Linked DNA regions of Rattus norvegicus. The protein of the gene in region 1 interacts with the protein of each later gene in a biochemical or structural test. Links are inferred from orthologs where the notes say so. Each region holds a gene or a part of one and is shown on either strand. Other genes may lie near its edges.

Evidence for each region.
Region 2: the proteins of Bcl2l1 (region 1) and Bik interact in a test that uses a peptide from one of them, tested with the Homo sapiens proteins (3 studies listed by BioGRID and IntAct, with this or other methods). The link is inferred for Rattus norvegicus from reciprocal best matches to the Homo sapiens genes BCL2L1 and BIK.

The regions. Positions count from the first base shown.
Region 1 is NC_086021.1:161,760,654-161,767,291, forward strand, and holds the start of Bcl2l1 (bcl-2-like protein 1), read right to left. Parts: upstream 4,123-6,638; 5' UTR 4,057-4,122; exon of another isoform or gene 2,682-4,056; intron 2,616-2,681; exon of another isoform or gene 2,598-2,615; 5' UTR 2,486-2,597; coding exon 1,922-2,485; coding exon of another isoform or gene 1,631-1,921; exon of another isoform or gene 1-1,630. UniProt on the Homo sapiens protein: Potent inhibitor of cell death. Inhibits activation of caspases. Appears to regulate cell death by blocking the voltage-dependent anion channel (VDAC) by binding to it and preventing the release of the caspase activator, CYC1, from the mitochondrial membrane.
Region 2 is NC_086025.1:116,568,289-116,573,245, reverse strand, and holds the end of Bik (bcl-2-interacting killer), read right to left. Parts: coding exon 4,879-4,957; intron 3,399-4,878; coding exon 3,300-3,398; intron 2,930-3,299; coding exon 2,812-2,929; intron 2,397-2,811; coding exon 2,304-2,396; 3' UTR 1,929-2,303; downstream 1-1,928.

The DNA.
Region 1 (6,638 bases):
CTTCTGCACACATTCTCTGCTTACCAAGAGCAAGTGGCAGGTTACCAGGTATGTTGCCCAACAGGCTCTGGAGATTCTTGAGTGAAGAGGCATTGGAAGGTGGAATTTTAATCAGTGGAGAGCTAATGAATTTGCCCCCAAGCTGCTGCCTTAGGTAGGTTTAGCATTTTTTCCAGGTGATTGGAACATGCAATCTGGGGCAGCTGGCAGTCCTCAGGCCCCAATAGCCTCTGCAGACAAGAGGCTCCCTGGCCCGGCAGGCCTCCTCCATGTGACCACTGTTTGTAGCTGGCAAGACCCTACCTGTTGTTAGGACCACTCAGTCAGCTAAAGGCAGGCTGCACGCCACAGAGGCAAAGGGCCCACGTCTACTTGGAGATGCTTCAGAGGGTGTGTCTGAAGCACTGGAATTCTGCCCCTCCTATAATCAGCTGAACAAATATTTGCCCCAAAAGAGAATCAAAGCAAGAGAGAATGAATAGAAGAGGTCACAGCACAAACCAACAGGAACAATTTAATCATTTATCTCCCCAGGGAGTTCATTTACAGATTGGCTTTCAAGTCTGGCAATCCTTAGCTCAAGGGAACCCACCTCTACCTCAGCCAACTCTACGCTGGTCATCTGACCTCTACTGACAAGTGACCTCCTTGCCTTTACAAGAGCTACTGGAGGGAAGAGGGGTGAAGTTTCAAAGAACTGGGAAACTAGAGACAGGATGGGGTCTCAGGGCAAACCCAGGAGGTCTCTTGCCCCGCCCTAGACCCAGCCTAGGAACAACCAAATTCTTGACATTCCGGGAGTCCATGGTGCATGGTCCCTTCCACCTCACTTCCTTCAATGGATGACTTATTTTCCAGTCTGTCCATTCTCTACATGTTGAGGGGACAGAATACATCTCAGAAGTCGCATTCTCCCCTATTCCAGAATGGAGTTCCCTCCGAACGGTAAATGCCTACCACAGTGGTCACCAGTAAGGGCATTCTCACCTCTATCTCACCCTGGTGAGCACAAGGGTGAGCAGAAGAAAAGGCACTCACTGGTGTCAGCTTCTGCTCGCTTTATCTTTAAGAGTCACAACAGTCTGTGAGAAGCTGAGGCCCCAGAAGGTAAGTCAGCCTGACCAAGGTCACATGGCCAGTTAAGTGACAGGGTCAGGACTCACACCCACATCCAGTCTGTCACCAAATCTTAATTTCCTATGGAGCCTCACAGACCTGGTTCGTGCTCTGCCAGCAGCAAACAGTGCTTTAGTAAAGAGGCCCCAGGGCCCTGAGCAGAAAAACACTGGGCAGAGCAGCTGGAGATCCCCAACTGATCCAGGGCAGTGAGGTACAAAGTCCTGGGGCACAGCAAGGGCTCCCCAAACAAGCCAACCATGGTGAAAATGAACTTAGGGGCACAGCACAAACACAATTGGCTCAGACCACCTTCTCTAAAATCAGACAATATTCAGCCAGTCAAGCCAGTGGGGCTCCTGCCTGACCAAATGGTCTGAATAGCATGCATGCGAGCACACAGGAGCCTGGGGTTATCAGCTCTGCAGTTCCTCCAGGTATTATATTCCTCCCCCCAGCCAAGGTGACCCATTACGTGAGAGTGAGCAGAACACAGGGAGAACTTGCTACTCTCCTAGGTTTTAAGCCAAGTAAACACACAGGCTGTTTTTCTTTGCCGAGAAATTGGAACAAAACTATGAAACTGCGGGGCCACAAGGGTAGCCAGAATGAAAAATACAGGTTCCTTAAAAACAGGGTCATCAATATTCCCAAAGTTAACCCCTGGTATTAAAGTGAAGCCAGGAATGTCTCCTGAATAATCGATATCTTCAACAACCATGCCAGGAGACCAAAAAGGGCAGTTAGGGATCTCCACAGAGGAGAGACACACAAGGGGCGGACACACAAGGGGCGTGGTTCTTACCCAGCCGCCGTTCTCCTGGATCCAAGGCTCTAGGTGGTCATTCAGGTAGGTGGCCATCCAACTTGCAATCCGACTCACCAATACCTGCATCTCCTTGTCTACGCTTTCCACGCACAGTGCCCCGCCAAAGGAGAAGAAGGCCACAATGCGACCCCAGTTTACCCCATCCCGAAAGAGTTCATTCACTACCTGTTCAAAGCTCTGATATGCTGTCCCTGGGGTTATATGAAGCTGGGATGTTAGATCACTGAATGCTCTCCGGTACCGCAGTTCAAACTCATCGCCAGCCTCTCTCAGCGCTTGCTTCACTGCTGCCATGGGGATTACCTCCCGCGCATCCAAACTGCTGCTGTGGCCAGTGGCTCCATTCACCGCGGGGCTATCCGCCAGGTGCCAGGATGGGTTGCCATTGATGGCACTGGGGGTCTCCCTTTCTGGTTCAGTTTCTTCTGGGGCTTCAGTCCTGTTCTCTTCGACATCGCTAAACTGACTCCAGCTGTATCCTTTCTGGGAGAGCTTGTAGGAGAGAAAGTCAACCACCAGCTCCCGGTTGCTCTGAGACATTTTTATAATAGAGATGGGCTCAACCAGTCCATTGTCCAAAACACCTGCTCACTCACTGGGTCTGCTCTGTGTTTAGCGATTCTCTTCCAGGATCCAAAGCCAAGATAGGGTTCTGAAGAGAGAGAAAGAGCTTCAGGAGAAAATTTTAATATGCATGTCATTTACCTTACAAAATCCCCATTCCTCCCCCAGTTACCAGAATTGGTTTCTTTGTGGCTCTTATGAAGGTCTGAGTCCAGGTTCTAAGAGACTTCAATGAAGTCAAATTGAAAGGACCAGCAAGCTTTGAATTGTTTCATCAGCCTCTTTTTACTACAACCACCCACCCCCTTTTCTCCGAAATGCCTTTCTCCAAAAGTCACCCCCATTGGCACATCCCCACCACCACCACCTACATTCAAATCTATCTCCGGCGACAGAGAGCAGGTGCAGCCCCCGGAAGGTCTTTTGTATCATAGGTCGGGAGGAGGTGGTGGCTGGGTCGCCGGTAACTCAGCAAAAAACCCCGGTCCCGGCCGGGATCATGCGACCTGGTAGGCAGGCCAGAGGAATTGCGAAGCTTAGGAACCTGCCCCCTCGCTTGCTTCCTCCATCGCCCAGATCGAGGGCGGCCTCTCTGCTCCGCAGCCTCCAGCCACCCGGGAGCCCAACCCCCTCGCTCTAGCACGCCCCTTGGCTCTCGCCTCCTACTGGGAGCCAGGAGAACTCTCCCGGAGGTATGGGTTTAGTGTAATTTCCCCCCACCCCTCCTTTCTTTCTTTCTATTTAAGTACCAGCCCTGGATGAGGCTTCCGAAACCCTAAAGGGACTTCTCAGTGAATCTCAAGGTTTCGCGCAGGGACGCGGGGAGGGGGAGACGGCCTCGGATCTGCGATCTGATTTCGGAAAGACCACTCCCGGGCCTTTCCAAGAGGAGTAGGCTGGAGACCCCCCACAAACACCGCTAGTTGTCTTTGAATTCCCCAAAGGCTCTGGACATAGCACTGGGGGACTGCCAGGTCCTCCATTCCGCGCCCGGACACAATGGCCGCCGGCACCCCGCACAAAGACGGGGTGAGAGGGAGGCGCTGAGCCCCGCCACTGGCCAGGAAGAAGGGTTGAGGCTCCCACAGCGGAGACCTCGTTTTCTTGAGACCCGACCCAAGGCGGCCTCCTGGAGCCCCCTGCAGGGCTCCAGGACCGGAGGCCGCTACGCGTTGGAGCCCCGGGTGGGTGGGCTGAGGCCTCGCTTACTGCTCGCGCTCCCCTAGGCCGGGTACCCGCCGAGCCACCGCCCCGTTGCTAGGCAACCGCCCTCCCTCAGGGGCGCCCCCTAGACCTCTCTGGAAGGAGGGGTCTCGCCCCCGCGGCCCGCCCCAGCTTAGCCAATCCGCGGGTCGAGTCGGCACGGAAGCGGGACGGCCAAGGCTCCCATTGGGCGAAGCGCCTGTCAGGCACAGGGGAGGCGGCGCCCTCACCTGAGAGCCCAGCGAGCCGTGGGGGGCCACATCCCCCCTTCATCGGCCCAGTGGCTTCCAGATACGAGGGCGTTTTGCGGCTGGGAAGTACGCCGCGGACTTGGGTTGGCCTACCTGGCTGACTGCTCGTGCCGAATCTCCCGGAGAAGCCGGCCTCAGTTTCCCCTGAAGAGACCGGGGGAACTTGCAAGCGCAGTCACTTCCGGTGCCGCGGCAGCGCGCGCGAGCCCGAGACGCAAAAGGAGTGCGCGCCAGGAGGGACTGGCGTTGAGACGTGGGAGAGCAGCGCCCCCTGGCGAGCGATTTGAGGAAGCGCAGGCGCATGGAACGCTAATGGTTCACATTCCATCAATCTAGTTCCTTCATCCATCTATCCGTTTGTATACTACAGAAAAAGTGCTTTTTCCTGGGTGTCCGACATCGGACAGGTTTCCCAACTTGTGTATTTCCCCCCCTCACTTTACAAATAGACAGCAGCATTGACCTTTCATTGACTGTGTATCGATATTACTTGAAAAGTCTGAAGACTAGAAAGCCTTTGGATTGTTGAAGACGGTTATGAACGAGGCAAGGCAAGGTCTCTGTTTTTGTTTTTTGTTTTTCTTTTCCTTTTTTCGGAGCTGGGGACCGAACCCAGGCCTTGCGCTTGCTAGGCAAGCGCTCTACCACTGAGCTAAATCCCCAACCCCAAGGTCTCTGTTTTTATGAAGACTTATACCTTAGGGGTGGAGGCAATATCCAACTAGGAAAATACGCAAGGTAAACTCTAAGGGGAGAAAATCCTGACATTGTGATAATCATGGTGAAACGAGATTTGCTTTAGAGTGAATGAGTGAATGATCCTTTTAAAAATGCAAACCCCGGGGCTGGGGATTTAGCTCAGTGGTAGAGCGCTTACCTAGGAAGCGCAAGGCCCTGGGTTCGGTCCCCAGCTCCGAAAAAAAGAACCAAAAAAAAAAAAAAATGCAAACCCCGACTCTGGCTGGCCAGTGCAGTAGAAAGACATTTATTTACACCATCTCGAACTATGTAGCATATGTTTGTTTGTGAGCCCAGCCTTTAACAACTGAGCCACCTCTTCTGTCTCGCTATTATACACAGTTTTTGTGTTGCTGGGGATCAAACCCAGAGCTTTGTGCATGGTAGTCAGGCTTTCTACCGGATAACTCTAGCAGTAACTCAGTTTTTCAAAAGTTTATTTTATTTTGGGGTATGTGCACGTGAGTGTGGGTGTGTATGGGCCACCATGTTTATCTGGAGGTCTGAGGACAACTTTTAGGAGTAAATCGTGTTCAGGAGTGGAACTCCCATCCTCAGCTGGTGAGGCAAGTTCATTCTTCTTATACGGGGTCTAGTTATGTAGCTGTTTAACTTGGGCTGCCCTTGACCTTGAACTCATAGCAGCAGTTCAGCTTCTGTGGACTGAGAGCTACTGGGATCTCAGCCTCCTGGTGTGCAGATGTCCACAACGTACCACAGGCGCTCTCTTTTCTCTGCTGATTCCTGACTGTGGAACAACATGGCATCAGGAAGAAACTGCTCCTCCACACATCACCTGTCAGTCTGGAGATAGCAACTCACCGTCCTCCGAAGACGTGGCAGAATACACTGTTGGCCACAGAGTTCATTCCACCCTTTTAGGAAACCCCTTGACTGACTGTGTGGTGGAGAGCTGAGCCCGTGTGGGAGCGGACACACCAGAATTGTTTCAATCTCGTTATCTTCTCTGAGCCGCAGTCATCTCAGGTGGGTGTAATTAAACCAGCCGAAGGAGGCAGAGACTAAGAGAAATTAAGAAATTACCTGAAGTAAGAAAGATTGTGTGTGTGTAAGCAGGGGTGGCTATGAGACAAAAAAGAGAGGTGCTGGATCGGAATGGACCCAGGCTAGTCTAAATCCAAAGTCATGAACTGCTTTGGGATCTCTCTCGGGATCCAAATGGCGTGCGTGTGTGTGTGTGTGTGTGTGTGTGTGTGTGTGTGTGTGTGTGTCCTTCACCACTTCACCTCTGTTGGCCTCACGTGTTCCCCTGTTAGCAAAGAGAGCAGGCAGGTCTCCGGCTTTACTGCTATGGCCTGAAGGTTAAATGAGGGATAGGAGCTGTCCACCATCCTATAAAGATGCTTGCCCATTAGCCTGACCGCTGGACTTCCATCTTGGAATCCACATACTGAAAGGAGAGAACTAACTCCAAATTGTCCCCCCCCCCTCCAGCCCCTGATAAGGTGTATACATGCATGCTCGCACCCACGTATGCACGTGTTAGATCATGGGACCTGATCTGTCACTCCCTTCCCCTCCTGCTGCTCTATTGTAAGGCTGTTAACAGGAATTTGTAAATAAATATGCTGTTGTATTTCTTCCCTGAGCCATAGCCAGGCCCCTTAGCTTCTAGCTTTGTAAAGGTTAAGCGATGTCTCTTTCTCTCTGTTTTCTCTGGCTGTTTTGCTCTTGGTTTTTTTCTCATTCTCTTTCTCTTCCCCTCCCTCCTCCATAGCAGCTCTTTTACCCATTTACCTTAAGCTACCTCCTTAGTATTTCTATGATGGCCTCTCGTCAGCACTGCCGAGATGCCTCTGGTGTGATCCTTAGTGCTCTCAAATCTCCCCACCGTAAGGCCTGACTGCGGCCTAGGGATGTGTGCTCACCCTCTTTCGTGCTCATAGTCAGAGGGTAATTTTAAATCAGCTCCGTCC
Region 2 (4,957 bases), on another chromosome or scaffold:
AGCCCATCTGCCGGAGCAGGTGCCACCCTCTCAGAAGCTTGGGCTCCCCTCTCCTGAACCCAGCTTGTGGTCAACTGTCTTACAAACCTAAACCAGAATATCCTGTGACTGCACACAGGGAGTAATTGGTCCCATCTAGTGTGGCCACATGATAAGACCCAGACACTCCCACAGCCTTGTCAACTGAGGGAAGTTGCTGTCCCAGAACCTCCATCCCAGTGAGCCCCAGTCAGCCACCTGACAAGTCAGGTCCCTAGGCCCACTGCAGTCAGGCCGGTTTGCACTGTTGTGACAAACGTGACAAGTCTCCATCCCCACTCTTGAGTACTGGAGCAGTACTGGAGAGATCCCAACTGTTAACTGGGGCTGGTCTCACTGAAGACTGCAAACCTGGAAAAAGCTATGGGTGGCCGGGCCTTGGGCTCCGGTGTTTAGTTCTGTGTCCTGAAAGAATAGCACCCGAAGCAGGTGGCCTTTGTTCTCTGAGCAACTTCATGGAGACCCTGTGGGGCCCAGGGCAGCTGTGTGAGGGTGGGCTGATGCCAGTTCAGAGAAAGCCATGGCTTAGGAACTGAGGAAAGCCCAGAGAAACTGGCTGACCTGCACCCTGAGAAGGGAGTGCACCAAGTACTGGGTGTGCCTCCAGTTCCTACTGCCTGGAGTGAGGCTCCAACTTGAGGGTCACAGCTGCTGAAGAGAGGGCCTAGAGCCTGTGTCCAAGTGAGTAGGAGGCCCACTGAGGCCCACAGGGCTGATGATGGTCTGTGGGGAAGCGCTGGGCCATTGGCACTAAGTGACATCTGCCTCCCTTGCCCAGACCAGAAAGGTCCCTTCCTCCCGTCCCCAGAGCTCATGCCTGCTGCCACCATCTCCCCTCCCCCCTGTATGATCAGAGCCAGAGCAGAGTTAGCTCCTGTCCCAAGGAATGAGCCAGCTCTGATGGCCAATGTGGATCAGCCACCTCTGGTCATTGTCCTTCGGGCTGAGATCTCACCAGCCGGTCCCTTGGACTTGATGCCAGGTTGCTCCATGTCCAAAACTGGCTCTTCTCGGGGCTGGGGATTTAGCTCAGTGGTAGAGCGCTTGCCTAGGAAGCGCAAGGCCCTGGGTTTGGTCCCCAGCTCCGAAAAAAAAAAAAAAGAACCAAAAAAAAAAAAAAAAAAAAAAACTGGCTCTTCTCAGGAAGGCATCTCCTTCATGGTCCCATCTTCCTGGGAAGGGCATTGGGGCTGCCAGGTAAGGTGGAGGTGGCAGAGGGGAGCACAAGACAGCGGGAGTGGGGGTGGGGCAACTCAGAACAAGCACCTCACCCAGAACTGGGAAGTTCAGAACAATTGAAGGACACAATGAGGGCATCTGGGAGGCCAGAGAAAGTGGTCACAGCCATTGGCAGCCATGTGGGGAGGGGCACTGTTTTGGTGTCTGATGGGAATGGGCAGACAGAAACCCAAGTTCAGGTGGAGGCCTTGGTTGGCCTAGAAAGATAATGGGCCAGGCCTGGAGGAGGTATGAGGCCTAGAAGTGGGAGACCTGGCCCTCCTCCTTTGGTGTGTCTTGTGTAGCACACCCCAACACCACAGCTCTTCATGATAGCTACGCCTGCACACACAGGAGGTGACAGACTTCCCCATCAGGATACAGGCAGAAGGGGACAGGAGAGTGCAGAGGAGCTAGGCATGACCATGCAGAGGCAGGCAGATCTCTGAGTTCAAGGCCAACCTGGTCTGCAGAGTGAGTTCCGGGACAGCCAGGGCTACACAGAGAAACTCGGGAGAAGGGGAGCTTTGGGCGCCCACCAGTTCTTATGGCCCTTTTGGGCACAGGACTGGGGGCAGAGGCCACTTTAAATTCCCTCCCCCATCTACATCCACAATGTAACAGCCCCACAGAGGGCCTAAGGGGAGGCTGGCTGGAAACACTACTGAACTCCTGGAAACAACCCTTTATTGAACTCTCCACCCCAAAGGAATCTAGTCCAGTAGATTCCGTGCCTCAAGGCTTCACAGACAGGGGTGTGGCCGGCACTCCCCCCACTGGTGGCCACAGGACCAGCCTGCAGAGAGGAAGGTGGCAGGGGTCAAGAGAGAAGGGCCAGCCAGGCCTCAGGGATATTTAGCCAGTAACGCTCCTGAGGTATAGTGAATTCATTTACCTTACAAAAACCCAGAAAACCTGTATGAAATCTCAGCACTATCCTGAGTTAAATATAAAAAAAAAAAAGGGACAGTCAGAAAACACCACGGTTAGGGTGCCGGCACCTCTAGGGGTTGGGGGACAGGGGCCAGCCCTGCCCCAGCTGCACCTCACTGAAGCTGCAAATGCCAGGCCCCACCCAGCAGCAAGAAGACCAGCAGCACCATGGGAAACAGCTGCCCAGGGTCCTGGTCAGGTGACACCTGTGGGATCAAGAGGGGAAGGTTAGTGAGGCCCAGGGACCAGCTGGGGTGAGGAGACAGCGCTTGGGACTCAGAACTATGCACAGCTGGGGAAATCTGAGACACGGTGTGAACGTGGTCATTTAGCCATTCACCTCGGGGGAGCAGGGGACTTATGACTGAGTGCATTCTCTTTTAGAAGGAGGTTCCCGCAGGAGGGGCCAGAAGGCACTGTGAGTGTGCACTCGAACCTCCCTCAGTTGGCCAAGCAGTTGCTGCACACACTAGGGCTGCTGAGATGGGGCAGAAGTGCAAAGAGGTGGGGAAGAAACTAGAGAGGGGTGGAGACTGCGGGGAACTAGACAGCATGGCTAAGGCACTGCTGGCTGCCCCGTGGGAAGGATAACACTCGGACTAGAGGCTTCAAGGTTCTCACCCAGGCGCCAGGAGTGAAGACTCTCCAGGACCAGATATTTTCCCTGAGGTTGGTGAGGCTTCCAATCAAGCTTCTGAAAATACCTCTGACACCCGTCTGGCTGTAGGTGGCAGCAAGTCTGTAAGACATGATACGAACAAGGTGGGTATTATAGCCGTGGGCGCTGGAAGTGTACAAGTGTGACCCATCACAGTATGGCCTACAGAGAGCCTCTGTGCTCCTCTGGCTCTCTGCCCAGAGCCAGCTCCAAGGAGCATCTCCCACTCTGAAGGCCCCTGAGCCTCTGGGCCAAACCCACACTGCCTTGTGAGTTGGGATCTCTCCGGACTCTCCAGCTTGATCTACTGCTAAGGCCAGAGGGAGGACTGGGGGACCCGGGTGAGGGGTGAGGTCTCAGGCTTGCCTGAGAACTCACACACTCTTCTTCCAAGGTTTGCAGGGCTCCCTTGGGGCCCAGCCCTGTCTGGTTCCACTGGGCAACTGGTTACCTGTGCATAGCAATCCCAGGCAGCTGGACCAGACGGGGGCTCCGAAGACACCGGTCCATCTCATCGCCGATGCAGGCTAGCCTCAGGGCCACCTGGTTTCTGCAGGCAGGCATGCGGCAGTTAAGTGTGGTTATGCTGGGGAGGCCATACCACACACCTAGCCAGTTCCTATGGGACTCCGGACCCAGTGAGGGGGACAGCAGGGGGATACTGAGGAGTCCGCAGCAAACCTTCCTGGTGTCCCCCTATCCATGGGTGCATTTTGGAGTAAAAGCCATTTCAAATGTGCTGCTGTAGGATAAACCACAAAGTACTGAGACATTGGGCATAGGGGCCAACCTGGGACCTATGTCAGCCTGTATCCCATGTCTGCCCTTTGTGGAAGTCAGACACAAAAGTACTGGGGAGTATCTTGTGACCCTGCCTGGACGTCAGGGACAGCTTACCCCAGAAAAACACCTGAACTTTCCTTGAGAGAACCCTGGGGAGGGGAGCAAGTGTGGGTGTTTGGAGCCCCCTTCAGTTGACTTCCTACAGGTCCTCAATCTATCCTGCTCCAAGACTCAAAGCACTTGTGTTTGCACCTTCTCCAGATGGAGAGCGGTAAACCAAATTCCCAAGTGAGCCAGGCATGGTAGCACATGACTTCAATTTAAAGACAATCTCGGGCTGGAGAGGTGGCTCGGCAGTTAAAGGTACGTGTTGCTCCAGCAGAGGACATGTTTGTTTACAACCACCTATAAGCCCAGTTCCAGGGGATGCATCCTCCTCCTCTGAGTACTGCAGGCACCAGGGATGAGCAGAGTGCACAGACGTACGTGCAGGCAAGCCCTCATGCACATAAAACAAGTCTTTTAAAACAGTCAGTCTCCACTGAAACAGGAGACAGTTGTGTGATGAATACACACACTGAAACCAGCCTGGCTAAGCCCTTCCTGGGGTTTGCCCACACATTCCACACCAGCGACGCAGCAGCTCACTGGAAAGCCCCTACGGAGGGGCGAGGGCCACCTGCTCCACACACCCAGTGTCCCAGGTCTAGTCCTGATTCTGATGGTCACAAGGGTTCGAGGAACCCAGAAAGTTGCCTGGCAACCAGGTTGCGAGGTTTTGGTCCCACCTACTCCCTGGGAGACCCAGGTTTCACTTTACTCAGGAACGGAGCAGAAAGTGAGGGGACACTAATTCCATCCAGAGTGACAGAGAACCCAGAAGCTGAGGGTACACACAAAGAGCCTGTGCACAGAAGGGCTCGCCCTGGCCAGCATGGCTGCTCTCTTCCTGCTGGGAAGTGAACAGTGGGTCTCAGACCCTGAGCAGAGAGGGACCTTGATTTCCCCATCTGGTCAGAGAGATATGTCGCTAGTGAAACCAGATGGGCCAGGTTCAGGCTGCCTTGTGCTGGTCCCAACACTCAGAAAGCACACTGGAGCTCTGTGGGGGCGGGGAGCCATCTCCAGGAGCTCCCTGCCCTGTTCTCTCCCACCCTGCCTCCTCCCCTCTCCCCCACTCCTCTCTATAGAAGGAGCTGTTCCAACCCTTGTCCAGTGGAGGCCATTGGTCATTGGTCAGTCCCTACCTGCTCTCCAGGCACCTCATGAAATCCAAGTCTCTCACAGGACTGACGTCCTCAACCCCCACAGGCTCCTTCATGCTGG